Mytilus edulis: one gene and its partner. The protein of the gene in region 1 interacts with the protein of each later gene in a pairwise test. Links are inferred from orthologs where the notes say so. Each region holds a gene or a part of one and is shown on either strand. Other genes may lie near its edges.

Evidence for each region.
Region 2: the proteins of RNA helicase aquarius-like (region 1) and zinc finger protein 830-like interact in a two-hybrid assay, tested with the Homo sapiens proteins (2 studies listed by BioGRID and IntAct, with this or other methods). The link is inferred for Mytilus edulis from reciprocal best matches to the Homo sapiens genes AQR and ZNF830.

Annotation. Positions count from the first base shown.
Region 1 is NC_092352.1:28,521,217-28,537,292, reverse strand, and holds the start of RNA helicase aquarius-like, read left to right. Parts: upstream 1-8,257; 5' UTR 8,258-8,363; intron 8,364-9,164; exon of another isoform or gene 9,165-9,170; 5' UTR 9,171-9,217; coding exon 9,218-9,283; intron 9,284-9,849; coding exon 9,850-9,909; intron 9,910-10,347; coding exon 10,348-10,388; intron 10,389-11,845; coding exon 11,846-11,881; intron 11,882-12,513; coding exon 12,514-12,559; intron 12,560-13,913; coding exon 13,914-13,988; intron 13,989-14,459; coding exon 14,460-14,591; intron 14,592-15,298; coding exon 15,299-15,367; intron 15,368-16,076.
Region 2 is NC_092346.1:5,108,982-5,125,507, reverse strand, and holds the start of zinc finger protein 830-like, read right to left. Parts: upstream 7,266-16,526; 5' UTR 7,245-7,265; coding exon 7,129-7,244; intron 4,224-7,128; coding exon 4,124-4,223; intron 2,902-4,123; coding exon 2,814-2,901; intron 1,988-2,813; coding exon 1,960-1,987; intron 1,505-1,959; coding exon 1,341-1,504; intron 198-1,340; coding exon 88-197; intron 1-87. Other genes in the region: mitochondrial genome maintenance exonuclease 1-like, read left to right, coding at 14,267-14,867, 15,529-15,745, 16,502-16,526.

The DNA of each region.
Region 1 (16,076 bases):
GAAGCACGGAAGCGCTTCATACTAAAAATGTGCGCACGGTCAACGCTTTTACAACCCTATAAAGTTACAAAAAAAAGCATTCAATACTTATAATTACATTTTTACCTATAGGATCATGAAAACACGCCTTTTATCAAATTTTTATTTCATTTACCTGTGCACTTTATTGTGGGACCTCGTGTCATTATGAATGAAAAGTTGCATTGTGTAATGCAATTGATTAAGGAATATCACGAGATTGCTAGTTAGCCAATCAGAATAAAGTATTATAATGAAACATACATCTAATGTAATTATTAGTATATAAAAACAGTTAGAGATGTGGTATAATTGCCAGTAATGGAACCACCCAATACAGTCCAAATGACGTGGATGTAATCAGCTTTAGGTGTACTCAGTGTACGGCCTTCAACAATGAGCAAAATGCATAGGAAATGGTCATCTGTAAGAGTTCACGACATGACAAAAAGTAAAACAGTTTAACAGAGAAACCTACTGTCTGATTTATGGCATATTTTAACAATTGACGTAACATAAAATGAGAAGAAAACGACCAACCACTGAATTAAAGGCATCTGACTTGAGTTTTAGTGAACAGTCTACATAGAATATATAGAGATATTATGTATAAAAAAATGTGTTGATAGAACGGTTTAATTGACATTATTTTTGTATAAGTTTAGGAAGAGACTGTACATATTCTTGAACTCAAAGTTGTCGTTTGTTGCTGTATAATGTTTTTTTCTTTAATTGTTTTGGCCATTTGAACTGTTTCCATATGTCATGCCGGGGCTGTTTTATAGCTGGCTTTGCCACCATGGGTTTTGCTCATTGTTAAAAGCCGTATGATCAGGCTACCTATAGTTGATTACTTCTACGTCATATTGGTATTTGATGGAATATAAAAAAGAAGATGTGGTATGATTGCCAATGAGACAACTATCCACAAAAGACCAAAATGACACAGACATTAACAATTATAGGTCACCGTACGGCCTTCAACAATGTCAGAGCAAAGCCCATACCGCATAGTCAGCTATAAAAGGCCCCGATAAGACAATGTAAAATAATTCAAACGAGAAAACTAACGGCCTTGTTTATGTAAAAAAAAATGAACGAAAAACATATGTAACACATAAACAAAAGGTTTTTTTATATGTTATAAGACAATCCGTTATGGAACAGAACATTGAACTGTTGGCTCGCTTAGCATCAAACAAGTATCCACTAGAGAAAAAATGACGACGAACGCCAAAAGGACACCGCACAGTCTTCAACAATGATAAACCTCTTATCTAAACCAAGCTATATACACGGCATTGGCACGACAGAAGGTCAACCTAGTTACAAAAAAATGGTTCTCTGATTTCATTATGCTCAATATTCGTAAGCATGTCATGCTATATTCTAAATTGTATTTGATAGAACAGGATGTAAAACAATAGAAAAGAGAAATCCAACTGCATAATCTAGGCTTAAAACAACGAAAATCAAATACTAGTAAGTCAAACAGCAAGTAACGACAACCAATGAGTTACAGACTCTAGTCTCTAGACGACATACAGAATAATGGTGGCAGGGTTGGACATGTGTGCGAGTTCTCAACCCTCATCTTACATGAGATATAATAGCACAGCATATGAAAAAACTGTATAAAGTCCGTTCGAACTTCAAAGATTTTTATAGACACCAGATCGACACGAAACACACACAAAAACAAGTAAAAGATAAAAGACTAAAACTTCTCTCCTTGCCGCATATCTTTTCATCTTTTTATATGACTGCCGGACACTTGAATTAAGGGTCAAGTAAACTGCATATTATTAAAATGCATATCCAGTAACCCAATTCACGGTGACGCACTCGTATTATGAGGATGCCGAAACAATGTATCTCAGTATTATGCTTGGTTGTACGGTATTACTAGTTACATAGTGTGTTAGTGACCTAATACGATATATACAGGGTAAGTAAATTCCATATGGGGTGAGAGCGAAGCACGCTATGTAACTAATTTATCTGACCGAATCTTTTTTGTTGTTGAATTTAGACTAGAGTTAACGTCACGAACCCTTTCAATAACTCTCTCAGGAGTCCGGCGATGACCTGTAACAAGATAAAATATCTGTATCTATCCAACAAGCCAATCAGCAAACATCAATCGACCAAATATGTTTTTCTAAGGACTGCAACCGTGTTAGTCATTAGGTTAAAAAATATGACAGTTTGTAAATATCTCATATGTGGACAGCGAAATCAGATATATACATTTCTGAGATTTGAAATCGGATATAAAACTTAGTACACGTAAAAGTCAAAAAGGCGTAAAATGCAAGTTATTTGATATATGTCCCACCATCGTAGATTTAAATTCAGACGTAGCATTTTATTAATTAAACGTGTTCGTTATACGGCTATATTTAAAAAAGAAGATGTGGTATGATTGCCAATGAGACAACTCCCCACAAAAGACCAAAATGACACAGTAATTAACAACTATAGGTCACCGTACGGCCTTCAACAATGAACAAAGCTATGATCATATTGACCAAAGTTGAAGTAATGACGAAGACCCCCTTTTTACAAGAAAACCACACACAGTAACGACTAACAATAGGCCTATAAAATACAGTGTGTTTATTCTAAGGAAGAGAGCAAATTGAGAGGGTGACACACATAAAATCATATTTTTATATCTTTCCACTGCTTACCTGTCAGGTTTGGACAGGGGAAGAATCATATTCACACTTTTTTTTTTAGAGCCGTTCCCTGCATGGTGTCTCTTCCAGCTAATCAATAAATTTAGTGGTACATTTATGAATAAGTTGAAGTATAGCTATTATTTAACCCGATAGCTCTGTTGGTTAAGACACGAGGGAATCGTACATTGTTTATCACTTGAATTTGATAATTGTCGCTTAATTATTAGGGCCCCGCCTTTAGGCGGGTCGCCCTATAGTGATCAGTCTGTCCGTCCGTCCGTCCGTCCGTCCGTCCGTAACACTTTAACTTTGTGTCCGCTCCATATCTAGAGAACCATTATGATTTCATACTTTATACTTTACATGTTTATTAACCACCACCAGAGGGCATGTCATGATGTATGTACAACTTCCTAGGTCAAAGGTCAAGGTAAAAAAACTTTGGTTTCAGTTGACAACCCTGTGTCCTGTGGTGGAGATCGTCCGTCCGTCCATCCATCCGTCCGTCCATCCGTCCGTCCGTCCGTCCGTAACACTTTATCTTTGTGTCCGCTCCATATCTAGAGAACCATTATGATTTCATACTTTATACTTTACGTGTTTATTAACCACCACCAGAGGGCGTGTCATGATGTATGTACAACTTCCTAGGTCAAAGGTCAAGGTAAAAAAACTTTGGTTTCAGTTGACAACCCTGTGTCCTGTGGTGAAGATCATGTCCGCTCTATATCTTAAGAACCGTTATGATTTCAAAGTTTATACTTGACGTGTATATGAACCAACACCAGAGGGTGTGTCATAATTTATGAACGACTGCCTAGGGCAAAGTTCAAGTTCAAAAACTTTGGTTTCAGTTGACAACCTCATGTCCTATGGTAAAGATTGTGTCCGCTCTATATCTTGAGAACCGTTATCATTTTAAAGTTTATACCTGAAATGTATATAAACCAATATCAGAGGGTATGTCATAATTTATGTACAACTTCCTAGGTCAAAGGTCATGGTCAAAAACTTTGGTTTCAGTTGACAACCCCATGTCCTATGGTAAAGATCGTGTCCTCTCTATATCTTGAGAACCGTTATCATTTCAAAGTTTATACTTGACATGTATATAAACCAACACCAAAGGGTGTGTCATAATTTATGTGCAACTTCCTAGGTCAAAGGTCAAGGTCAAAAACTTTGGTTTCAGTTGACAACCCCATGTCCTATGGTAAAGATCGTGTCCGCTCTATTATATCTTGAGAACCGTTATCATTTCAAAGTTTATACTTGACATGTTTATAAACCAACACCAACGGGTGTGTCATAATTTATTTACAACTTCCTAGGTCAAAGGTCAAGGTCAAAAACTTTGATTTCAGTTGACAAACCCATGTCCTATGGTAAAGATACAATTTTTTAATGCAGATTATTCACAGCGGGGCCCACAGAGATGGCTCCCATCTCAATGATATCTAGTTGATTTCTAGAGAGGCGTCCCGTGCAATCTAATTAAAATATTGATCTCTGATTACGTTATACTACATATGTAGTATAACGTAATCAGAGATCAATATTTTAATTAGATTGGCGTCCCGTGTTGAATCTTGTTACAATAGCAATAAAACTAATTCATGTTGTGCATTCGTCATGAGGAGAATCACTATTGTGGATAATCTTCTTATAATATATGTTGCTGGTTCTGAATGACCGTCCCTTGATGACCTCTGCAATTTGGCGATGTATAATTAAACCGGGTTTACCTGAGGCTGAACCTCATTTCAAGGATCAATGATTAAGGTTAAAGTTACGTGATTACGTCATTTTTACACATATTATAAGCAGTAATCAACGATATTTGCTGTATGAATTGGCTGTAAGGGGAACATGTAAGTGTGACCTTGACCTCATTTTCATGGTTCATTGGTTAAAAAATGTTAAATTTGTATGTTTTGATCTATAAGCAATAGCTCAAATGTATTTGGTGTATGGAATGATTGTTAGGTGTTACGTGTCTGTCTTGTAGGTATCACTCAGACCTTGGTTCATTGGTCAATGTACAGTTTATGTGATTTGATTTGGGTTGGGTTTTTTTTCAAATCTATAAGCAATAGATCAACTATAGTGGTTGTATGGAACGATTGTAAGGTGTACATGTCTGTCAGGGGTATAGTCTGACAGCTGACTTAATTTTCATTATGCTAGTTCATTGGAAAATGTTTAGTTTTTGTGTTTTGGTCTTTTTCAATTATGATAAGCAATAGGTCAATTATATGTGCTGCATGACATAATTGTAATGTGTAATTGTCTGTCCGACAGGATTTATCTGACCTTGACCTTGTGGTCATGTTTCTTGTTTGTTGGTTGTTGTTTTATTGTTTTATAGTTATTGTTGGTTATTGTGTTGTTTTTGTTGTTGTTTGTCTTTGGTTTTTTTCTCTCTCTAAAGGTTAACATCAGCAAAATCTGAAAATAATACTCTTATTAGTTGTCAGATTTTGATATAGGAAATAAGTTTATCGGCCGTGGGGTGATACATTTGTTTCTGTGTAAAGTCTTTTTTCCTTAAGAAATGTTGTAATTGTTACCTTGTATGGGTTTCAAGATTATTGCTTAAAATGTCAATATTCTTATTTTTTGTAATATAAATGAAGTGTGATTTTTGTTTAGCTTATTAAAGGAAATAATTTACTGATCAGTTTCTTCAGATATACAGTCTTATAACTATTGACTTCATTTTTTGCATTTTCATTGATCAACGTTTAACTTTCGTAACTTGGTCCGTTTCATTAAAAGTAACTGGTATACTATACTCGATGTTTCGAAGAATTGTAAGATGTATACAAGCCCGTCTCAAAGAATTGACAGTGCACAAGGTCATGTTTTTATCTGGCTGTTTATGACGTCTTTACACTAAATCCATTGGATGTTGGATGTGTACGGATTGATAGTTTAGTCTTAGATGCATCATTTTTTTTATTAGTTGTTAGTGGCTTTGAACTAGCTGTCAAATAACTGCGAGTACTCTCAGATCTGTTCATTGCGTCTTTTTGTGTCGGGATGTACTTGTAGTTCGTTCTTATGTTGTACTGTTATACCACTGTCCCAGGTTAGGGGGAGGGTTGGGATCCCGCTAACATGTTTAACCCCGCCACCTTATTTATGTATGTGCCTGTCCCAAGTCAGGAGCCTGTAATTCAGTGGTCGTTTGTTTATGTGTTACATATTTGTTTTTCGTTCATTTTTTTTAATAAAAAAGGCCGTTAGTTTTCTCGTTTGAATTGTTTTACATTGTCTTATCGAGGCCTTTTATAGCCGACTACACGGTATGGGCTTTGCTCATTGTTGAAGGCCGTACGGTGACCTATAGTTGTAAATGTCTGTGTCATTTTGGTCTTTTGTGGATAGTTGTCTCATGGCAATCATACCACATCTCCTTTTTATATGATATTAATTCAGTCTTGAGGAACATGGTTTATTTATATGTTAAACTTGTACCTTAAACCAGCGAGTACTTCTTAATCTTTCTGTAATTATTGTGTTTTGTCTTATTTGTTTATAATAATACTGTTAGTATCGACCTGATGAGTCACATTTTCGAACGAATTTTGACAGTGTGTTCATACTGATATTGTGTTGTTATTACTCTGGCACCACAATATAAAAAAAAAGAAGATGTAGTATGATTGCCAATGAGACAACTGTCCACAAGAGACCAAAATGACACAGACATTAACAACTATAAGTCACCGTACGCCCTTCAACAATGAGCAAAGCCCATACCGCATAGTCAGCTATAAAAGGCCCCGATAAGACAATGTAAAACAATTCAAACGAGAAAACTAACGGCCTTATTTATATAAAAAAATGAAAGATCGAAAAACAAATATGTAACACATAAACAAACGACAACCACTGAATTACAGGCAGCTTGCTCCTGACTTGGGACAGGCACATACATAAATAATGTGGCGGGGTTAAACATGTGAGCGGGATCCCAACCCTAAGAACGAACTATAAAAATCAGTCGAAAAAGGCTTAACTCATCAGATGGACAAAAATACAAGTGGAAACCTGTCAAGCCGTGTCATATTCTGGTTTCTGGAGGATAGAGTGCTTGAAAAACGTGTTTAGCAGCGCCAATTAATGTATGTGCCTGTCCCAAACCACCAAACTGTGGGCAAGTGGTTGTCTTGCGAAATTTGATGAAAAGACAATTTTCACGAATGTCCATCAATAATTAAACAGTCAGAACCAATATTGTTTGGTAGAATTATGTGCAAATAAAATTGAAAGGATTAATGAGAAAATTGAACTTGAAGCACAAATGCATTATATATTGGGAAATATACCCCAAAACGGCGGCTCTCCTACGTCACCAAAGTCACTTGATTTCTTACTTACTTGGATATGGGAAAGTGAACTAAAGGATGCTACTAACTACATTTTTTTCTTCCCATGAAGTTCCTGTATGTAGTCAGTCTCATATGAATTAAGTAACATGACGACAAGAAGAGGAGCACAATTGGTTTCCATGAGATTGCCGATTGTTTGATGAAAAACGCGTCCTCCAAACGTAAAAATTATGCTCACAATCAACAAGATTTGCAACATCTTAGTAATTTTGTCTTTTAGTTTGGAATGGGAATACTTGTGTAAAGTGTAGAAAAGTCAAGATAAAATAGTTATAGATTGTATGTACTCTAAAAGATCTTATTCTTCTTCTTTCAGTAAGCGGCCACCGTCAACTGGTTGACTATCCTGCCACATTTACGGAGTGCGTGCATGATTAAAATTTTTAATTCAACAAAAACTACGTGGAATTTATATACAGGTGCAAAATAAAACTTGACATGTCACTTTTACTGACGGAGCTGAGCCTTGAAAGATTCAGGACTCGAGGCGGTGACCTTACAGTTGGGCAAGGTGTTCCACTCTCTTATTGTTCTAGGATAGAACGACTCACTCCTTCCGAATTGTTGTTTTGCAGGATGGAATTCTGAATGCTTTTTCGTTGTTATTCCTGGAAGGACGTTCATTTGGTATCAGTTTATTTGATGTATCAATCTTTACATAGTTGTTATTAAGCTTATACATCATTATCAGTCTGCTCTGTTTTCATCGTTCTTGTAGGGTAGTCCATCATTTAGATGTTCAAGCATGTCACTAACCGCAGATGAAGTGTTGTGGTATCTGTTAGTAACATACCTTGCTGCCCTTATTTGAACCATTTCCAATCTATAAATGTCATTTTGTTGGTACGGGTCCGATTCTGAACTAGCATATTCAAATGTTGGTCTGACGAGGGACACATATGCTTTTTCATGAATCAACATCTGCCAATGATTCGCGCTACCAGCTCTAAATTTGGTATAACTTGACCGGGCTTGCCAGTTTTGTTTTGTTTTTTTAACTTGATTTCATCCCAAAAATATGCTGTATTTTCCTTTTCGGGAAAAAACCCTACTAGTACCTTTAAAAACTGAGTCGATATTGACAAAAACACGAAAAAAAACAACGGCGAACTCGAGTGCTACTAATGTGCCCGGAAGTATACATTTCATGTCCGTGTATTGTTTTTGATATTAACTACGTCTTCACAACTTCCGCTGCATGTGTGAGCGACGATTTTGAATCGTTTTGTTTTTGCATACTTATTAAACTGATTTCAGAGCGAATGTAAGTTATGTTAGATTTATACAGGAAATAATTTTTGTTCTCAATCACCTCGATTGTACATAAAACTCTAAACCAACCTGTACATTTGATCCATACTTCTCCGCTATCTGAGTTCAAGTACTAACTTTTTTTAGTGTACTTCAGATAAGTAAACGAACCGTAAGCAACTAAGTGCACAAATGTCAGAAGATTATATCACACACAAACGAGTTATATACCTACTAAAAATGTTAATATTGGACCATTTGTTTCAAGTTGAAAAAACAGGTAAGGATTCACTGGAATAAACATTAATGAGGAGGGATTGGACCTTTATCAGGATTTCAGGATGGGGTGTTTTTAAGCTCGAGATTTCGGGATCCAGAAATTCTTTTTTTCGAATTTCGGTATGGGGGATTTACATTTATTTAAATTTGGGACCTCAGGATTTCCTGTTTTTAAGCCCGGGATTTCATGATCAGGACCCCTCCTACCCCCTCAATTAATCATGGGGTTATCTTAATCTACCAAATGGGTTATAATTTCTTGAGTGCTTACAATAATGAAAGGCTATTTTATTTTTTTAACAAGTCACTACATCATAATGCTGAAGCCTTTTTTTCCGTCTGGACTTTTGAGAAAATATTTAGCAGCACATTGAGACCCAATTTTGGCAAGAAATCTTCATTACTGGCTATCAATCATATGATTCCATTTGAGGTACATTTATGTTACCTTTTAAAATTGTTTACCTGATTTTCCAAGATTCATCACTTCATGAAAGACAAAATATCAAGTTTATAGATATAATATATTATCCAGATACAGTACTAGAAAAAAATGTTATTGGTGTAGATTAAAGAAAAACATAGATAATGGCAGAAACAAAGAAAGCAAGACCACTTACTGTTGATCAGATTCAAGAAGACAATATCACACAGGTACATGTATAGTGTTTTATCTTAGGTACGAAGGCCCATTTATATGATATTAAAACATGTGAAATTTGATATTCACGAGTGGTACTAGCGTTTGCTTTCAACTGTAAACCAACTAATTTTGGCAAACAAAGTATTTTCGAGAGTACATTTTTTAGCAAAACATCTCAATTTTCAATGATCACAAATGTGTGAGACTTGGATCTTCCCATTAATAAACCATGCTGTTTGGTGTGAGCCCAGTTCCATATTGAAGGCTGTACTTTGACCTTTAATGGTTTAAGTTTACAAATTGTGACTTGCATGGAGATTTTTCTTATTAGCACTCATACCACATCTTCTTATATTTTAATGTTAGAAAATAAGAAGATCATGAAAATAAACTACTGCAAAGTTAGTTAGAAAGACCTAAATGCAAAATAAAGTATGCATGCAAATAACTTGGTTTAAAGTCAAAAGATGTTACATTTTTTATTATCTAGGAATCCTTTTTTTTTATTGAAATATTCAGTTATAGAGTGTTTTGTATCAATAAATTGTTCATAATATCTTATTAATATCTACTACAGTTGGCAGGACTACATTGGTCACAGGAAGCTTTGAAGAATGGGGCAAAGTTTAAACCACAGGTATTTCTATATCTACCAGTAAATGAATATAATGTTTTTGAAATCATTTTCTAAAACTTGTAGGTCATATTTGAATGCAACTTTATTTTTTAAATTATTGAAAATTAGTAATCTTTTTAAAAAAAAAGAACAAAAGGCATATTTTCTCTATTTTTCACTTCAGTATTTATTTATCAGATAATTCAAGTTGTCAGTTTATAACCAATAAAGTTTTGAAAAAAGTATTAGTAAAAACTAAGTGTGTTTTCTTGTTATTAGTAAAAACTATGAGTGTTTTCTTGTTGTAACAAAATTTTGATTTATACTGTAGATATTGTTAGATAAACCTATAAAGTTCTTTAATTCACATTTTTTTTATTTGAGTTTGTATTGATAATAAACATTATCTGTAATTATCTGTATTTCATGTGAGTAAAATTTGTTTCTCTATATTTGTAGTTGGTTGAAGACATTTATAGAACAGAACTGGTCAATACTGGGTAGGTAATACACTACACAGAGGTCAACATAGTCTTGTAACCAAGAAATCCTCAGTCTAATATCTGGGAGACTGATATGAGGATTCGGTCACAACTAAATGTTAAACCTAAATAACCATGCACCATAAACTAGCAGTTATACACAGAAGATGAATTCCACTTAGTATATTATTTATTTCCAAGACTGGAACTTGTCACCAAGCCTGTGACTTCTAAACTTATGTCTTTTACAATCATTTTACAATATATATATATGAGAATTAAACAATTAGCTAAGATCAATTATTACATAATGTGTTGACAAATATAAACAAGTTATTATCCAGATAAAGAAAGATAAATAATTAAAACAACTCTTTTAGCAATGTCTCTAATTTAAGAAGGATAAAGGATTAAGCCCTGAGGCATCATTGTCACTTTGATTATAAAATGTCCATTATCAATTAGATATATATTAACTTATTGTCCAAGTAGAATATATAATATAAAACATAATTAATGAGAGTTTCAAACATTAGCATTAAAAACCTAAACACATCTGAAAGTCATTTTAACTCTGTCAGAGTCTTCCACAAAGAAATACAATAAAATGCTGCATCCACCACCAAAGGAAAAATAACATTAATAACTAAAGACTACAGCTGAGGGTAGATCATAAGTAAATCTTTTTTGAGACAGAATTTTCTTATACTTAGCCAGAATGAAGATTTTAATATGCTCTTTTCAAAAATATAATAAAAAGTAGGGGTCACCGTGCTATTTTTCAAGCTATGAGTCGTTGAAAATTGCCTAAATTTGGTTAGATTGTTAATGGAAAAACACAATTGTGTGCATAAAAAATAATCTATGAGATAGAATTTTGAAATAAATTGTGAAAAGATAGGTTTTGTAATATGTTTTAAGAAAATAAGAAGAAAAAATGGTGTCACCGAACTTGTTTTCTTGCTACAAGTAAAAAGAAAAAAAATCCCTATCTGTCCAGTATAAATTTTTTACTAAAAGAGTTATCTTCCCTTAAATGGCTCAGTTGAAAAAAATGATTTAAAAAGCAAAATAAAATGATATTTGTTTAATTATTTTGAATTATACAATAAATTGCCAAGTTTTCTTTATATTATTAAACTGTCTAACCATTAAATTGCAAATCTGTCTCCAAATTTGCAGATTTAGGCAAATAACTAGACCGATTTTTTACTGTGATTGTTCAATCCAAGATGGCGGTATACCATGAATCTACCTTACAAAAGGTACTATTTAAAAAAGCACAATAGAAACAATTGAAATGCACTGACCCTAATAATACTGTTATGTTGGATGACAATTACATTCTTTTTCTTATATCTTCACTTCATCTTACTAATAATACAATAAGAGCTCCTTTATATGGCTGTTCAACTTACCTGTGGCTTTACAATATAAGACTGATTATATAATTTTTAAAATGATTTGTTTTCTAGATTTTCAACAAGACGAAGCATGATGTTAGAATTCAGGTATTACTTATATTTATATGGTTTCCTTTCAATTGTATTACCATTTTCGCAATTATACATGTCTGCAATAAATGTTTTAACAAATTATCTCCCCTGATACAGATGTATCACTAAAGTCAATAATGACCAATGGTGGATGAGTTTTCTATAAAAATCCCATTGTATGACCTGTTCCTTTACAAACTAACAAACAACTAAGGAAGATGTTCTTGTGACCAGGCCACACCATATGTTTATTATATAACATTTTTTCAAGCCAACCTATAATTTTTGGATGACCAGAATGTTTAAGTACAATGTACATGTACTACAAAATAAAAAGACTTAGGCAAATCAAGAAGCAAAGATATACATTTGTAATTGTACAATATCTAATTTATTATCTACATTCCCAAAATATAGACTGCAAAAAAAACATGCGTCTATTTCTGTAAATGCAAGAATAAGAATAGTTACACATATTACAGACATGACTTTCAACTTGCTGCAGGTCAGTCAGTGAAGTTAAATATACATGTTTTAGCAGGATCAGGAAAACACTATAATTTTAAATTTCTTTGATATTTATTGCTGTAAGATATTGTCTGATTATTCTTGTGCTATAAATTATTATATCTTTCTTTTTCTTTCAGTCAGTACCTAGAAAATTATTTATGGCCAAATTATGATTCAGAAAAGGTAATTTTTTAAAGGTTTCAAATAGTCGCAGGTACATAGTTGTTATTTATTGTTGAGGAGTGGTCAAGCTTCTTAGTATTATTGTCGATTCCTCACCAATTCTTGTTAAGTTCATAATTTAAAGTCTTAAAAGAAAAAAATAGAAAATTTAGTATCAATTTTCAAAATAGTTGTATCCTTATTTGTTGTTATTTTCTGTACAAATTTTATATAAAAGTAAGAAGATGTAGTATAATTGGCAATGACATAGACGTTAACAACTATATGTTACTGTATGGCCTTCACCAGTGAGCAAAACCCACAACTTACCTTATGACAAGTCCTACACTCTGAAATTAATACAGTACACAAAAATGAAGTAATTTCAAAGTGGCTTATAGGTGATTTTTGACACTTTACAAATGTGAAAGGAAACAAAAAATAAGCAGAGCGCAGGTCAGGCACTCTTCATCTAACCATTGAGGGCTGTTCCAGAAAATACTATGTCCCCCCCAGGGAAGGCAATTTTTTTAAATATTATGTGGGTGGTTGTATTTGAAATACCAAAATGCAAAGGGAGTGCTGTTCTAATTAAATTTTATTTCTGTGGGTGGTGGGGGTTAAAAAAAAGTGCCGTCCCTGGGGGGGACATAGTATTTTCTGGAACAGCCCTGAACAGGAATTGTAGAAAATTGTGTTTGCCAAACAAAACAAAAAAAGGAAAAGGATCAACAGTTATTATATTGAAATTATTTTTTTTTAAATATTTTTTATGTGTAAAGAATATAGAGATAGTAGTAAAACTTATATTTCTTTCTTTGTTCTAATTATTCTTCAATTTATTACAGTTTGATCTAAATGACAGAACCAAAGAATGAATGAAAGATAATCATCCTTTAATTTTTGTTGTTGTCCCTAATGAATTTAAACTTATATCCACAAATTGACTAATAATAAAAAGCAATGTGAGAGATACACCAATGAGACAACAACCCATAGACACTAAAAAACAATAGAAATTTTATTTAAGAAGACAACTGTTTATCTTAACTACTGCATTTACAACTGCCATTTATGATGTTATATTTCTACATTTAGTTGTGGTTCCTCTGTGACTGTGGTCTAAGTAGTTACTACTGTAATCACTAGCCAGTCAACACTGAGCTTGTGAGTTGAACCCTGCTTGTGCAGGTGCACTCAACTCCAATCTTAAATGACTAGGATTGTTAATTTTCCTATCGATGGTCGTGGTTTTCTCCAGTCACTGGGGCTTACTCCACCAATAAAAACTGGCCGCCACAAAATAGCCTGAATGCAGTGCTTGTAAGTGGTGTTAAAACAACATAAATCAAATCAAATCTATTTTTGTTTGTAGTGTTCTTATGCTCATCAGTTGTCAATAGCTGCCATGGTCAATGAGAAATTTAGAGAAAGAGTTCCTCAATGGGAGGTAAGGTTATGTGGAAGAGCTTTGATAAGATTACATTTAAAATATGACAGTGATGGCTGTATGTCATGGAAATAAGAAGTTGTGGTATGAGTGCCGATGAGACAACTCTCCATCCAATTCACAATGCATAAAAAGTTAACAATTATATAGTAGATGAAAGTACAGCCTTCAACACAGAGCCGTGGCTCACATCAAAAACAGCTAGCTATAAAGGGCCCCGAAATGACTAGTGTCCAATCTATATAAATAACGAGCCATACATTATTAAATGATTCTGTATTTTTGCATAGAAAAGACTCCTTCTTGTGAACATGTTTGACAACCTGACCAGAAAGCATGCACACTGCAAATTTATAGCTGATATTTTTATGTTTATATTATATCAATTTTTCTGAGCAAATCTTACAAACATCTCTTATGTGAAAAAAAGGATAAATTATATAATTAATTTAAATGTTGGTTTTTTTCCAGACATTCAAGCGTAGACCTGAGAAGTTTGCTGATTTTTTCCATCAGATGTTGCAGGCGTGTTTACATGAAGGCAAGCCTTTCAGAGAACAGTCATTGTTACTCCTCTTCCTAATTCACTGTTTCAATAGTCTGGTAAGTTTAGACAAATTATATGTTATATATTATTGTTATTTGTAAGATAACGCAGAATAGTGAAAGTTATGAATATTTTATTACTACCAGTTTCTTTGTTTTTGGTCGTACTGTTCCGGTTTCACAAAAAAAAAATGCAACTAATATTTAAGGTACATTTTACCTATACTGATTTATTAATAATTTATGATCAATCTTAATGTTAAGTTTTTTTTGTGAAACTGACATCAGATACTTAACTTTCATTGTATCATTATTTAAAGAAATCAAATAAATATTGAAGGCATTTTCCCCAATCTATCTTTACAAGAGGCAGTGGAATTTTGTAGGATAAGTTGTCATTGCCATGTTATTCACAGGAGTCCCCTGTAAACAATTTGATATATACAGTCTTTTTGATGCTAGGACTTCTATCCTCTTATTATGAATCACAAAAAGACAGAAGATACTAGAATTCAGCGAATAAGACAAGATCAGTGATCCAAATTCCAATGTTGAATCTGACATTGATTTTCCACGATTTTGTTATAAGATAAACATGTCTCAAACTTTGGTAAGAATTCAGAGTTAATGCTTTAATTATGTCATGGATATGTTATAATTTACAGGTTATTTTGGCTCATGAAAACAGTATCATATAATAATCTATTTTCAGGATTTAGAAACTGAAAAACAATTATATATTCTATGATTTCTTATTTAATCAGGAAGTGGATTTAATAAGAGAACAAGTACAAAGATTGGTTTCCTTGCCTATCTGGAATAATTTGTTGCAGGTAAGTTGTTGTTAGGTCATTTACAGTTGAAAGAGTCACAAAAGAGCTTTTATTAACTGTAGTAGTCACGTATATTAAAGTTATTATTTATCTTTTTTGTATTAACTATTATAATCTGTTACTGATTTGCACTGTTCAAAGTAGTCAAAGAGTTTCAGTTTTATAAAATATATATGTAGGACTCAAATCTATGGCAGATTCCTAATCTATGGCAGATATGGCGTCTTGCCATCCCAAATCTATGGCTGATTTTCACAATCCTAATCTATGGCAAGTTTTGTAATCTCCTAATCTATGGCGGATTTTTGTTGTTTCCAAATCTATGGCAAATTTTAGGCAAATGAAAAACAATGCAGTACACATATGACCAATGACTTGTCTTAAACAAGTAGAAATGCACGAGAGCATGTCTATAAACATTCCATAATGGTCAACCAAATCATGATGGCAACCAACATATTTTGTAAATGATCAAATTCATATACCTTAATACATACTTCAAGATTGAAATAAACATTTTTTAATCTGCATGAAATTGCTTAACCCATTCATTTAACCAACTAGTAAGTCTCCTAACAAACAATTAGGCAGTTTGTTTTATGTAAAAGAAATAAATAAGTCTGAAGGGTTCCACAGAACCCGGTGTCTCGCCTACTTTATGAGTCTAATAATTGTTTTAAGTACTTTAACTGCAGACTGTTAAAATCTT
Region 2 (16,526 bases), on another chromosome or scaffold:
GCTGTTCTTTAAAGTCATTAAAAATATTAAGAAAGGACCTACAGTCTGCATGCACTCTTTAAGCTTACAAAGTTTAGAATGACTGACCTTGGCATCCTGTTTAGGGTTATCAAAAAATCCTTCAGGAAGGACATCAGCCATGACCTTTTCTTTGGGTTCATCTTCTACTTCAGGTTTGTCACCACTGTCAAAAAAGTCTGTAAAATAAAATTCTGATTACTGAAGACTCCTGCTGACTTTCTCTGACAAATCATGACATTGTTAACTTTTAAGCAATACCAGTCACTAATACATGTACCTCAAAATTGCAAGTTTGATATAGTTATTAAAAAGAATTGCAATGACTCCTTTGGAGAGAGTTCATTATTATGCAATGGGACAACAATCCAAAAACACTTAACCACAAAAGACATCTTAAGATCCAATTATTACCAGGGCTAATATCAGGTTGCGGGGGTTTCTAAATTTAAGTTAAATTGTAGTACAGTAAACATATTGGTATCAGCATGTGTAAATACAATGGTACTATTATAGGAAGTTATTCTAATTTATTCAGTGGAAATGAAAATTTATGAAGGTTTGTTGTTAGTTCAGAAAAGGGAACCTGTCTCAATTTCTTAAAAGAATAAATAAAAGATAGTCCAGCTTTCTTGTTGGTATTGTTTAGCGAACTGATCAATTCTACCTGGCAATAGGGATGATACCCAGTAATAGCTTTGTAAGGAGGTATGAGAAGTGATCATCTTATTAACAAGAGCTACCAAGGTATGCAGGAATGACTTGAAGCTTTTTGATTACTTTGGTACTAAGGAAAGTTTTACAACTTCAATGTATTGCATCTATAGTTATGGGAGGTATTTTAATGGAAGTTTACCTATTGGTAAAATGAAGAGCAGGCCAGGTTTGATGGTGTTATTGTTTATATTTTTTTTTATGTAAGGGAGATAATCCTAATCAATAGCTAAACGGTACTAAAGAAAATGTGAAAATTTGTATTGTCTCTACAATGAAGGGAGGAAATTAAAGCCTAGTTTACATTATGGTTAAAAGAAAGGTGGCCCAGGTTTGAAGTTGCCTTTAAAATGATGGGATGTAATTCAAGCCTAGTTTAGTGGTAATGAAGGATGACCTGGGTTTGATATTTTTGTTGTTGATATTTTTCTATAGATGATTTGTTAGATAAGTGTTATCTATAGCCACCTGGTACTAATGAAAATGCGAACAATTTGTATTGCCTCTAAAGTGATGGGACGTTATTTTGTTGTTTTTTTCTGCATGATTTGTACATGGAGATAGTCATTATGTCGAAAGTGAAGGGAGATAATTTCAGCCTAGTTTACCTGCTGGCAATGAAGGATGACCCAGGTTTGATGTTGATGCTGATGTTGTAGTTGTTGTTTTTGCTGCAGTTGATTCATCTTCTTCACTTTCTTCATCAGACGAGTAATCAGCCAAACTTAAAGCTGTTTTCTTTGATGTGTTATCATAAAAATTAGCTGGTAATCTTAAATATAAGTTAATCAAACATATTGTTTACGGCAAACTGGCATACAAAACATTATTGAGAAATATTTCTTAACTTTATCTTATAATATTTTATATGTCTGATTTAGGCAATTAAACTCATGGAAAAACTGCACAAATGGCCTCTAAGATAGACTTAAAGGTCAAGGACATTTTTGTAAGAAACAGACATGTGTAACAAATGTAAATTCTGCATTAAGTGTGAAGAGGAAGACCCTCATATTTCTTCATGGTCAAAATTCAAATTCATGGCTTTTATCATACAGCCTTCTCTAACGATTTTACTGAACTTTGTAATGTTATTGAACCTTCAATAATCTTGATCTTACTGAATAGAGTTTAGTGCATTTGCAGTATTTCTCCATCAACCTAAAATGTGTAAGCATTTATAACTAGAACTTAATCTTTCGACAAACTACCATACAGAAATCTTACCCAGCAGTCCCCCTCGTCTTTCCATTATCTGTAAAATTAAAATATAACATTTGACATATACAAGTTTTTGTTCAGAACAAAAGGTTGGTATATCTGACATCAATAACTTTAATTCTAATGCAACTATTCATGGTAATGCAAATGTGGATATGAGTAAAAGTAACTGGCAATAACATAATGCAATAACAGTCCATGTTACTTGCATATTCAACAGTTCAATTTTCAGTTTAGCACTAGAAAAGGAATAACAATGCAGTATTTTAAGAGTTGCCGTTATCAATTTTACTATTGACAGTCAGGGGGGGGGGGGGGGGGGTCCCAAATTTAAAGAAATTTAAATCCCGACATATCCAAATTAGAAAAAAGAATTCCCTAATCCAAAAAGGATCAATCCCAAAAAATCCCGAGCTTAAAAACACCCCATCCTGTAGTCCTCATAAAGATCCGAACCTCTCACAGTCACAAATATCTGTGTACTGGGTCCACTTTTAACCGCCTGTTAAACTTAAATTTAATAATTTTATGTAAAGATGTATGTTTTATTGATTCTCATGTTATAATGTCTTATATTTATTGATTGATAGAATGAGTGAATGAATAAAGATAGGAAGGAAAGAAGGAATAATGAATGAACAAACAAATGAACAAAGAACTGGAAAACGAAGGAAGGATTGAACAAACAAATGAAAATATAAATGAATTTACAACTTGACATATTGTGTGGACAACATGTTTCATATTGAAGACTGTGTGTTTAGATGTCATTTTGTTATTTGTGTATTGGACTGCTATACCCTAATGTGCCCCTACATATATCTTTGATTTTGGTAATAATTCAGAAAATATCTGCATACCTTTCTGTTTTTTGTTGTGACTGTCAGGTTCTGGGGGGAGTTTTCTTTTCTGTACTGCTGGACCAGGTGCTTTAACAAGTTCAACCGTCTGAAAACAATTCATTCATGATTATAATATTGACTTCATTAAAAATGAACGTCTTTGAAATGATCAGTAAATATTCAACCTTTACTAGAACTTGTCTAGAAGCAGTATTTTACTTCACTTTTGAATCTGTATAACTTGAAATCTTTACAAACATCTTGTCTGGTCTAAGTTCGTCTTACAGTAAATTTTTACACACAGAAATGTTCAAATAACTTTTATACAATGAATTGAAAAAAATCTATTCAAAATCAATTCTCAAAGAAAATTTGTGAAGAAATAAATATTATTAAAGTTCAGAGGCAATACCTAAAATGAACAGATCCCTCTGTGATCTTTGGTGGTTAACCGCCTTACTTACAACGACACATCACTTTTAATCAGTGTTCTCCCCAGAAATTTTGGATAGCATCACATTTGGCGTAAACAAAATAACTGTATTTTTTGCAATGTCATTTGTCGCATCGCGGCAATGCTCTTCTTTTATGTTATATATGTTTATATTATTGAATTCATTATTGAGAATACAATTAAACTATAACCATAAAAACAGTTGTTTCAGTTTATGTTTCCTTTATACATTTATAGTTACAGAATTATTTTTTTCCTCCTGTGCCAAATAAAAATATATGTGGTTTCAGTTAATCTACCTATATCCAACTACTAGTAAAATTAATGAATGGTTTATTATGCAACCTCTATATATACAAAACTAAATACCTAGTACAAAAAAGTATCATATATAGCAATAAAATTTCAATTTAAAACTTTTTTCTTTATCATGTCTTATGAAATTCATTGTTTCATGGTACTCAATGAATTTGTCCCAGTTGTTTCTAATCTTTACATCAAAATGACATGTATTTTAAACGAAGAAATCTAACAAATAGTCTGTTAATGCGTAGTTTCCTCTTTTGGTATATTTTTTCTGTCTACTGTGCCATTCGTTTATTTATAGTAATAATTGTGAAATGCGGATTTTTGTAGTTTCTGGTACAGCAATGCTAAAATAGCCTGGGGAGAACACTGTTTTAATTCATATATCTAAATCTTTTTTTTTGAGATTTAAACTTTACAAGTCTTGATCTCTTCATATGCCATTGTTAAACAAAAATTAATTATCAAAACTAGATAAAAAAAAAATCAATACGCGACCTTTGTTATAAATTTACATGTAGTATTTAGCTAAAACAAAATTGAATTCTAAATATTGTGAAAATTTTACCTCTTTGTGTTGACGACTTTGTAAATGGGGAACCCACAATGCATCAGACTTTATAACAATATTACACAAAGCACATGTTAATTGGTCCAAACTGTTATACCTAAAATGATAATGTTAGAACTAATTAGTTTTTCTGTGTACGTGAATGACAATTACAAAGAAGTGTTATTTTTTGGCCATATTCGTTCAAGTACAGAACTTATAATACTATGTCAAGAAGACATCCAGTCTTACACCTGTATATATCTTTTAAATCATGATATTATTCGTTAATTAATCACTGAATCTTCTATGATATTCGAGCTAGTTTTTTATATAACAGTAAAGCAGGTTATTTTCGTGGGGTGTACATTTTCGAGATAAAACAAAATACCAAAATAAATTCCACCAATTTTAGAGTGTACATGCAAAGGTTTTGAGAAAAGTTTTGAATCTGCCAAAATAATAACCACCAAAATATTTTGAATACCTTATTCAATGAAAATCACGAAAATTTACACCGGTGAAAATAACATGCTATATGGTAATACGCAGTGTCACATTGTTAAACCCAGTATGTCCCACTTGGCTGTGCAATACTAATCTTTGTACTGGACAACATATATATATCTGTATATAGACACTTTTGAAGGATATACACAAAAATTTAAGACTACAAGGGACACTTATTATTTTTCACTGCAGTGTACTAGCTAAAAATGTTTTATTTATTTTAATTTATGAATGTGACTGTTTTCTTATTAACATAATATATAATTTAGCAAACAGGCTATCACAGTAGAGCTTCTCTTGCTTTTGATACAAAACTCGACTATCACAGTAGAACTTCTCTCGCTTCACTCAACTATCACAGTAGAGCTTCTCTCGCTTCTATCTTTGAGAGAAGCCTTACTGTGATAGTAGAGTTTGGAATATTTTTACCCCGTTATTGATAGGATTTAAAACTACTGTGGACAAAACATGTCAAATGTTAAATTAATGGGTGCCACATGTGGAGCAGGATATGCTTACCCTTCCAAAGTACCTGAGATGGGTCTCACTAATTAGTGACAACAAGCGTCAAGAAGCGACAACAAGCGTCAACAAGAATTATTTTAGCGACAAGAAGCGACAAGAAGACTATTTAGCGACGAAAACATTTTTTTTTTTTAGATATAAAGAAATTTGTATTTAATTTTTTTTTTTAATATACGAGGAGATATGTCTAATTAAAATGTTTTATTATATAGAGGAAACATTTGTGAGGAAGAAAGAGATTGTGAAGTTTATATTAGTATATTGATAGATGAAGAAATTAAACATTTGTGAACATGGTGAAGAAGAAAGAGATTGAGCTTCTTATTTTAATTTTTAAATATGAAGAATGTGTATAAGATAATGTATGTATCTGTTTTCATCAAAGTCAAAGTATGAATAAACGAATGGAGATATATATGGAGCAGGCATAATGGAATATAATATTTTGATTCATTTGCTTAATACTATGCTCTAAGTGTACTCTTGTTATGTCAATTCGATGCTTTGTTTGTAGAACTCTCAGCCACACTTTGCCATCTTTATTATTTATAAAATATTATGTAAATAATGTTTCATTTTTTTCTATCAATTTTAACTTTCTTGTCGCTAAAATTATATTCTTTTGCATATTCTTTTAATATTTATTGCAATAATTAATTTTAATTAAAAAAAATAGTTTCTTGTCGCTAAAATAATTTTTGTTGTCGCTAAAATTCTTGTTGTTGCTAATTAGTGAGACCGCCTGAGATCACCCCTAGTTTTTGGTGGCAGGTGGGGTTTGTGTAGCTGCGGAACCGTAGCTCTTAGGTCCTTATGTTATTTTTTGACTATTTGCGGACCATAGAGCTACGGATTTTTCCTATTTCAAAACGTTCGGAATTGCGACCCAGGTTCAGGTCGCACTTATTTCCCCAAAAAATATTGTTTATAATCCATGCAAAGCTTGTCAATATATATAGTTCGTTTCGTTAGATATTTTTCTAGGATATGACGTACCTATTTATGTTTGAATATTCATTTCCTTAACACTATTATCTAATTATTTCCATTTGTATACATTCTCCGCCTATTTTGTTCGGCCATATTGAATCTCGTCGTGACGTCACGAAAATCAAGAAAAGATAACTCAAATATCCTCGATCTCCTATGTTGGAGGTAAGGAACGCCTACGAAAAACAAGAACAGATAACTCTTTTAGAAAAACACGTGTTGGTTTGTTTACTTATTTCTAAGCGAGAATCGAGTGTTTTTAAGACTTTACAACATTAGTTCATACGAATTTTTTTAATAACTTGAAAGAATTATTATTTCCGTTAGTATTTAACTTTAATAAAACTTACTTTCATTCAAAAAGTCATGAAAATAAAATAAAAGACAACGTAAACAACCCAACACGTGTTTTCCTATAAGAGTTATCTTTTCTTGATTTTCGTGACGTCACGACGAGATTCAATATGGCCGAATAAAATAGGCGGAGAATGTATACAAATGGAAATAATTAGATAATAGTGTTAAGGAAATGAATATTCAAACATAAATAGGTACGTCATATTCTAGAAAAATATCTAACGAAACGAACAATATTTATTGACAAGCTTTGCATGGATTATAAACAATATTTTTTGGGGAAATAAGTGCGACCTGAACCTGGGTCGCAATTCCGAACGTTTTGAAATAGGAAAAATCCGTAGCTCTATGGTCCGCAAATAGTCAAAAAATAACATAAGGACCTAAGAGCTACGGTTCCGCAGCTAGGGTTTGTGTTGCTTATTCTTTCGTTTTCTATGTTGTGTCATGTGTACTATTGTTTGTCTGTTCGTCTTTTTCATATTTAGCTATGGCGTTGTCAGTTTATTTTCGATTTATAAGTTTGACTGTCCTTTTGCTTTTGGTATCTTTCGTCCCTCTTTTAACAGTTTAAATTAAACTGTTTATCCTACATTCTTTCTTTTAACCACAAAGTTTTTAGCGCACAAAAACTGCCTTACTTTGCTAACGGGTGTTCAATCTTTTTAGACACTCTTTTAATGGAAAAGGTCTTTTCTTTCATCAATTTTCTTAAATCATCTTTTGAGACAATTTTTTGCTTCTTTTTAGTAGCCATTTTGATTTTTGTATGAATTGGTTTCGTATTTAAGAATATTTTATAGATAAAAGATAATTAAGATGATACAATTGAACTTACAAACTTTTAAAAAATCCTATATGATTAGGAAATATGAGTGTTGGTTATAAATCTGATGTTTACTGTGAGCAATATTGAAATCCGAAATTATTTGTTTAGGAACAGATTATCTCCCTTTATAGAGCACCTTGCACCAATTTCTTGTTTATAAAAGACTGTAATCGATTGCAAACCTCCAATGCGGGTGTCAAGATTTTTTAACTCGTATCCAGTGCAATCCAAAGAAAAAGGCATGATATAATAACGAAGTGCATTTACTTGTGTAAGAGTTATGTCCCTTTTCTGAATAATATTTTGATAAATTATACATAAATATGTAACACTGAGAAACATCGTCATGTCCATCCTGTCAAACCTGTCTGATTCCCGTAGACGTGTCAAACTATCCATATGACGTCGCTGAATTCAAAACATGTACAGTTTCAAACGGGCGCTGAAACGAAACATGTCAGTTTTATGAATGCACAAACGACGTTGAAACATGTCCATTCCCAAAACGTATCAATATCATGTTTTAAAGTTTCCTTTAATTATTATGAAGCTGAATCTTGTATTTTAAAATGTCCATTATTAATTAATTTAATTTTTCATCTTCATTGGCTTTAAGTAATAATTACATAGATATGAGAAGATTGGTACGAGTGCTTACAGTGGCGTAGCTGGGTCATTTTTACGTGTATGCCCAAACCTTGGTGAGGGATATGAGGGGTGCCAACTGCTCAATGTTAAAGTGTAACAAAAAATTTATTCCGGCGTGACATTTGTTCCACCGGAACAAATTTCATAGGAAATATGTTCCACCGGAACTTATGTCACAGAAAATATGTTCCAGCACTATAAAATTTGTTCTGGAACTAATTTTTTAACTAAGTGTGAAATAAGTTCCGGAACAAAAATCACAACACCATGAATTTTGTTCCAATATTAAAATTTAAAAAAAAGTGAAATAAGTTCTTGTGATATTAGTTTTAAACGAAGGTATTTTATAGAAATCAATGAAAATGTTCTGCTCGAACCTATTTCACAGAAAATAAGTTCTGTGCTTGCATGGGGTACATTTGCAATTGAAGGAATGACTTTAGGATAAAGATAAGAAATAAAAGCGATGATAATGTATCTATGTTTGATCGTTTATGTGGTATTCAACCTCCTTGTTTCCTGATGATCTGTCATTGGTGTTCTAATCATACATGTACTTAGCTATGGTCATTGCACAGTTTTTAAAGAGCGGTGTATTTTGTTTCTTTATGTCTTTTAATATAATTGATCAGCCACATTGTCCTTTTCAAAAAAGTACAAATATTCATCTTCAACTATAATATGAGGCAGGCATTACCTGTAAATGGGGACGAAGTCTGTATGAATTATTTTTTTGTAACTTAAAAATATTTGTTAAAAAAAAGAAACGGAAATACCGTAACGTTTCCGATTTTGGTTCTGTTGTTAGGGATTTTAGTTGTGACGTTATTTAAATTATGACGTCATGTGCAATGTAAACAAAAAAACGCTATCATCAGGTAACTTTTTTTTCATATCAAGGAATTATTAAAAATGAAATTGGTATTGCACGTTCCTTCCTATTTTATACTAGACTGATAAATATATATTTTACTCAAAGTTTCATACAAACGAGACCGGAAAAAGGAAGTACATTGTACATTTCTGCGCAGGTCTGGGATTTCAAAACACGACAAAAAAAATTTGAACTATTTTGAGTTCATTAGTATAATGAAAAGTCGGGAAATTTTCCCGAATTTTTTTTTTTTATTGAATTTTCTACTGTTATTGGGGACTTCGTCCCCATAATACTTTTTTTCGGAATGACTTTTATTATTATTTCTTATTCTACTCTTTCCTGGCTCATAAGCACCATTTTTAGTATTATTACTTGAGCATGTTATTAAACTTTTTCTTTACTCCACATGATCCGATTGGATGTTAACACTTTTTATACGACCGCAAAATTTGAAAATTTTTTCGTCGTATATTGCTATCACGTTGGCGTCGTCGTCGTCGTCGTCCGAATACTTTTAGTTTTCGCACTCTAACTTTAGTAAAAGTGAATGGAAATCTATGAAATATTAACACAAGGTTTATGACCACAAAAGGAAGGTTGGTATTGATTTTGGGAGTTTTGGTCCCAACATTTTAGGAATTAGGGGCCAAAAAGGGCCCAAATAAGCATTTTCTTGGTTTTCGCACTATAACTTTAGTTTAAGTAAATAGAAATCTATGAAATTTTGACACAAGGTTTATGACCACAAAAGAACGGTTGGGATTGATTTTGGGAGTTTTGGTTTCAACAGTTTAGGAATTAGGGGCCAAAAAAGGGCCCAAATAAGCATTATTCTTGGTTTTCGCACAATAACTTTAGTTTAAGTAAATAGAAATCAATGAAATTTAAACACAATGTTAATGACTACAAAAGGAAGGTTGGTATTGATTTTGGGAGTTTAGGTCCCAACAGTTTAGGAATTAGGGGCCAAAAAGGGACCCAAATAAGCATTTTTCTTGGTTTTCGCACCATAACGTTAGTATAAGTAAATAGAAATCTATGAAATTTAAACACAAGGTTTATGACCATAAAAGAAAGGTTGGTATTGATTTTGGGAGTTTTGGTCCCAACAGAATAAGGGGCCCAAAGGGTCCAAAATTAAACTTTGTTTGATTTCATCAAAATTGAATAATTGGGGTTCTTTGATATGCCGAATCTAACTGTCATGACTGTGTATGTAGATTCTTAACTTTTGGTCCCGTTTTCAAATTGGTCTACATTAAGGTCCAAAGGGTCCAAAATGAAACTTAGTTTGATTTTGACAAAAAATGAATCAGTTAGGTTCTTTGATATGCTGAATCTAAAAAAATGTACTTAGATTCTTGATTATTGGCCCAGTTTTCAAGTTGGTCCAAATCGGGGTCCAAAATTAAACTTTGTTTGATTTCATCAAAAATTGAATAAATGGGGTTCTTTGATATACCAAATCTAACTGTGTATGTAGATTCTTCATTTTTGGTCCTGTTTTCAAATTGGTCTACACTAAAGTCCAAAGGGTCCAAAATTAAACTTAGTCTGATTTTAACAAAAATTGAAATCTTGGGGTTCTTTGATATGCTGAATCCAAAAATGTACTTAGATTTTTTATTATGGGCCCAGTTTTCAAGCTGGTCCAAATCAGGATCTAAAATTATTATATTAAGTATTGTGCAATAGCAAGTCTTTTCAATTGCACAGTATTGCGCAATGGCAAGAAATATCTAATTGCACAATATTGTGAAATAGCATATTTTTTTTTAATTAGAGTTATCTTTCTTTGTCCAGAATAGTAAGCAAGAAATATCTAATTGCAAAATATTGTGCAATAGCAAGATTTTTTTTTAATTGGAGTTATCTTTCTTTGTCCAGAATCAACTTAAATCTTTGTTATATACAATATACAATGTATATTCACTTTTTACTACCAACTGATAAATTAAAATAATCTTTACCATTCAGTGATAACAAGCAGTTTTTTTACATCTTAATATTTTATGATGTATTTAAATGAGTAGTTATTGTTGCAAACTCCATTAGAAATTTTAATTGAGATTAGTTTTGGAATAAGGGAAAGGGGGATGTGATTAAAAAAATTGGGTTCAATTTTTCTCATTTGAAATTTCATAAATAAAAAAGAAAATTTCTTCAAACATTTTTTTGAGAGGATGAATATTCAACAGCATAGTGAATTGCTCTAAGAGAAAACAAAAATTTCAAGTTCATTAGAACACATTCATTCTGTGTCAGAAACCTATGCTGTGTCAACTATTTAATCACAATCCAAATTTAGAGCTGAATCCAGCTTGAATGTTGTGTCCATACTTGCCCCAACCGTTCAGGGTTCAACCTCTGCGGTCGTATAAAGCTACGCCCTGCGGAGCATCTGGTTATTTATTACATTATGCAATATAATACATGTTTTTTATAATGACTTTAAACTCACTGATGACAAGTGCTCAGTATATAAGAAAACTTGTTTAACCAGTGGAACATATTTCACAGACAAGGAACTTATTTCACCAGGTGAGGAACTAATTTCACAAATCCAGAACTTATTCCACCAGGTAAGGAACAACTCTCACAAACATGGAACTTATTTCACTAGGTAAGGAACAAATTTCACCAACCCAGAACTTATTTCACCAAGTAAAGTGTGGAACTTATTTCATAGAGATGGAACAAATTATATAGAATTGTCTGTGAAAAAAGTTCTCCCAGAACATATTTCCTGTGAAATAAGTTCCACTGGAACTTTTTTCACAGGAACAAATTTTGGCTCACAAAAGCACCTGCGGGTAGTGGGTTCGAAAGGGTCAAAGCCCCCAAAAGCTATCGAGAATGAGATACCACAATGATTCCTGTCAGTAAAAAATTATTGATAGCAACATACTTTTGAATCTGAATGGTTTATTTGTTTTGATTAAATTTTGTAATATGTTAACTTATTCATCGTGTTAAACTGGAAGCTAGCCAAATGATCATTGGATTTAGAGAAAACGTCCAAACCAATATTACTTTTAAATAAGTTTAAAGGGTGCCGTGAGTGAGCATACAATCGACAAAAGCACCCAAAAACACCCAAAAAATTATTTCTAAGAGGTGCATTATAAAAAAATTCACCTTGGATTTCTTCCCACATAAAGTGAATCAATTTATCATTCCTTTAAAGGGATTTAAAAAAAATCTAAAATTTTCTTTTGATATTTTTTTCTTGATCTGGAATATTTCACGACAATCTATGAAGGTATATAAATTGAGCATGTAAAACAATTAATTGCGTTAAGAAGAGTCCGGCTATCTGTCTATCAGAAAAGAACAGAAAAATGAACGAATACAAATGCTTTCAAAATTTTAGCTTTTGACATTAGTCATAGAAAAAGCTTCTGCTGCATTTTCATAAAATAGATGAAGGTTCGACAAGTCATGCAAGTAGTTAATGTAATTGAGAAATAACAAAATGTAAGCCCAAACTGCAACCACTTATCAGTTGCAGAAATAAATAAATTTTGTCCTTAAAATGCGGGAAAATTAAAGATATAATTGCATTATTATATTGCTCTGAATACTCTTTTGATCATAAACAGTTTCTGTTCAACTTTCGTAAAATTTCATGGAGAGTCATTCAAAGACTTTATTCACATTTGGAACCTAAATATTGACGCCGCTTTGTCTCAATTTTGGAACATAAATCACAGGCTCGACAAAAATACAAACAGCAGATAGTGAATTGATTTAAATTAATATATAAGAAAAGTACGTAGAATTTATAGTAGATTCAGACTTTTACAAAAGATTTGAATAAATATATTAAATTTATGATCTATTTGATTAAATTTAGTCCCTTTTATTCAAAATAACAATCCATTGAAAAAAGAAGCACAAGGCTGATGTGCTTTTGACCAGTTTTTCTTATTCTATGTCGATTATTTGTTTTATTTTCAAAATTCAAGTGTACGCCCGGGCGTTTTGACGTAAACGTAGCTACGCCCATGGCTTACGAGACAACTCTCCATCCAAGTCATAATTTGTAAATGTAAACCATTATAGGTCAAAGTGCAGTCTTCAACACAGAGTCTTGGCTGACACTGAACAGCAAGCCATAAATGACCCCAAAAATGAATAGTGTAAAACCATTCAAATGGGGAAACCAACGGTCTAATCTTTATATAAACACTGATGAACTACATAAACAAACGACAACTACTGCATGAACATCAAATTCCTGACTTAGGACATGTGCAAGACAACCAATATTGCGGCGGGTTTAAACGTTTTAATAGGTACCAACCTTCACCCTTATCTGAAACAAAATTGTAACTAAATCTGTATTTACATTAATAATTTTTCTATATATATATGTATTTTTATCAATTAAAAAAATCTTTATTTATTTTTTGGTACTACAAATAAAGTATATATAGCATTATTAAGATTATTTATATGAGTTAGAGAGATTTATTTATTCCTAACAAGGAACTTAGATACATGTAAATAATACATCTTAGGTGTATTTAAAGCCATAATAGGTTAGTCAGTGTTTTCCTTTAAATTTTACAAAGATATAACATGGGAGATAACCCTGCAACCATAAAAATCTGTAGATTTTCTGCAGTTGTTCTTTTATCAATTTTTATGATGTGCATGTTGTTGAGGATGTTTGGACTTAAGGTTATTAATTATTATGAAAAAGAATGTTTACAAGATTGATCCCTTTTAAAATTTTCATAACAAATCAGAGTTTCCAAAGATTTGAAATAAGATTGTTGCTCAGTAAATTTATATCCAATTAGCAATGTTGTATCCTTAACAGGCTGTCAAAGATTATTTGCATGATTGCTTGGTTCAAACTGGTTGAACAAATGAGATTTAAGTGTAATGCTTTAAATGAACCTGAAGTGGTAATTGTGCTGTAGGGTAAAAAAGAGTGCATACCACTGGGTATTCATTGTTGTCTTGAAATAAAAGTCCTGATGACGCCTATCTAACACTATTACTATGCAGTAAAAATATCTGATTGTTGTTGTCTTTTGTAACACTAATGAGATAAGTGATTAAAAATAGTTTTTAAGGGGGCCACTACCATATTAGAATCCAATCAGCCTCTACCTTTGATAAAACTACATGTTAGCCAAGTCTTTAAGTAGTAATACAGACAGTTTGGGATAATCTTACAATGCTAAATGTGATTTCCTACAGAAGTTGTTTGTCTGGTTATCCTGTTTTTGTTTTGTTTTAAAAGTGAAATTATAAACCTCTTATAGTAATTAGGCATTGTTTTTTTTTGTGACAAGCAATTTCTTACATTTGAAATGGTCTGTATGTGTCTGATGTGACTTTTAGAGAATGTTTTTGGGAAAATATCAATTTATAAATTTAATATTTTTTTTATGATTTCAGATTGTGAAGGATGGCAAGGTTAACAGGACAGTGGTTATCAAAGTTGATGTGTAGTAAATCAAATCTGTCTGTTTCATTCAACATATCATTACGATTTAAAACTACAAAAACTTACGATGTCAAAGAAATCATACAGCTTAATTATGATAATTATAATCTTTATGGTCCAAAACTTAATAGAAAGAGTAAGAAAAGTGAGGAAAAATCAGAATATCACACATCTAGTGAAGTAGAATCACATAAACAGAGTGAAAAATTGGTGAAACTGACTAAAAGTAAGGCTTCAAATAAACAGACTGTAACAGTGAAATCAGATAAAAACAGTGAAGTGTCAAATAAAAACAATGAAAAGAAAGGAAATAAACAAAGTAAAGTGCCATTCCAGAGGAAGATTGATCCTGCTATAGACTACATTCTTACCTATCCTATGGTCAGATCTGATACAGAGGTTGACAATTCTTTATTGGTACAATCAGCAGGACGATTAATTCCATCAGTGACACGTATAATTAGTGAGACAATGTCAGATTTGTCAAAGTTTTATTTGGAAAGGTGGAAGAAGAAAATGATCAGTGAATTAGGAGCAGAGGGTTTTAAAAAACTTCAAGAAGGTATTTATTATTTTTTATATGAATAGTGACAAAGATACCCTTTCCTCAAATGCAACATTCTTAAATGATTATTTAAAGCATTGTAGTTAACATGGTTTCAGAAATCACTATGCAATCATTAAAATGAATCTTAAAGAGCATGATTAACAGAAAAAAAAGGATAACAGATCTAGGTCTTTTAAATTCCAATTTGTAGAAGTCAAGAATTTTATTGTTACTTAAAAAGTTATTTCTTGCATAAAAAGTTATCATCATGACCATTAAATAAATTAAATGGGTGGAAATAAAAAAAGTTTTGAAAAAGGAAATGTGCCTGAAACAAAATAACAAACTACTTAAAACATTTACTAGTCATATAAGAAGATCCGAAAACCACAATTGACACCAAACATTTGAAAAAAAACTATTATGAAACCACAATATTTGAAACTACAGTAACCAGCATTGAGTCCAAATGTAATTACCATCACCAATAAAACATTACCATTATAATGAGACAAAATATTTGGCTAGAATTGGAATCAATAGTATTTATAAACCAAAAAATATATAAAGAGCATCAAAACAAATATTTTAATTGTAAAACTATAGGGTCATGCAACTTTGTCTTCAGGAGCTTGGTCTTCATTTGCTCAAGATGTTTATAAATTTCTTTCTACAGAGACTTTTAGAAATGGATCCAATCTTCATGCAAACATTCAACATTATTTATCTGGGATTCCTGAGACAGAGTTGGATATATATAAAGACAATATTGGACATTGGGATAGTATCAGGAAGGTATTACAGGAAGTGAAAGAAGCTGTTGCCATAGAAGAAGCAGTCAAGCATGAAGACCTTTGTTACCAGGGAAAATTTGATTGTTTAGCTGTATATAAGTAGGTTTAAAAGCACAGTGTCAGTGTCTTCCATTTAAAGTATTTTAGATTTTCATTTTCTTCAGTAAACCTAAACATTTAGAAATATTTTTCCACAAATCATTTTTCTTGTAACATTGAAATATATGATAACCCAAGCCTTTCCTTTTTGTTTTTTTGACTGATGTTCCCCTGTATGTAACAATAAGGAAGGAAAGCTTTCATTGCTGTTCTTACTTTTAAATTCACAGTGGAATTTTTAATATGAATTAAAAAATTAAAAACATTTGTAGATTTTTTTATACAAAACTATATCTTGAGTATTTGGGGAGTTTGTTAGACATAATATATATTACATGTGTTATACAGATAATACTCCATAATAAGAATATAAATTGATTGATTGATTGTTGTTTATACATGTCTAGTGGCAAATATTTCATTAATTATAAGGATGAAATAGAAACTGAATAAGCAGTTTCTAAAATTCATTTAATTGTACATCACAGCCTTCATGATAAACTTTTGAGTATATAACCCCGAAGCTCAGTTTTTTGAAAATTTTAGTTGGATTCTGTTGGGGCTGTAGGACTTGTGGTGAAGCATGAAGTGAGATATTTGTTTTATAAACTAATTAACCCAAAGGAAATTTAACTTTCACATACACAGTATTTTACTTGATTCTCAACACTTCATGATATGGATGAACTACAAAGATCAATATCTATGTGTTCTTGAAATCAAAGTTAAAATTAAAGTATATTTTACATTTTATAGAGACAGACTCTGTTTGGTGGATTGG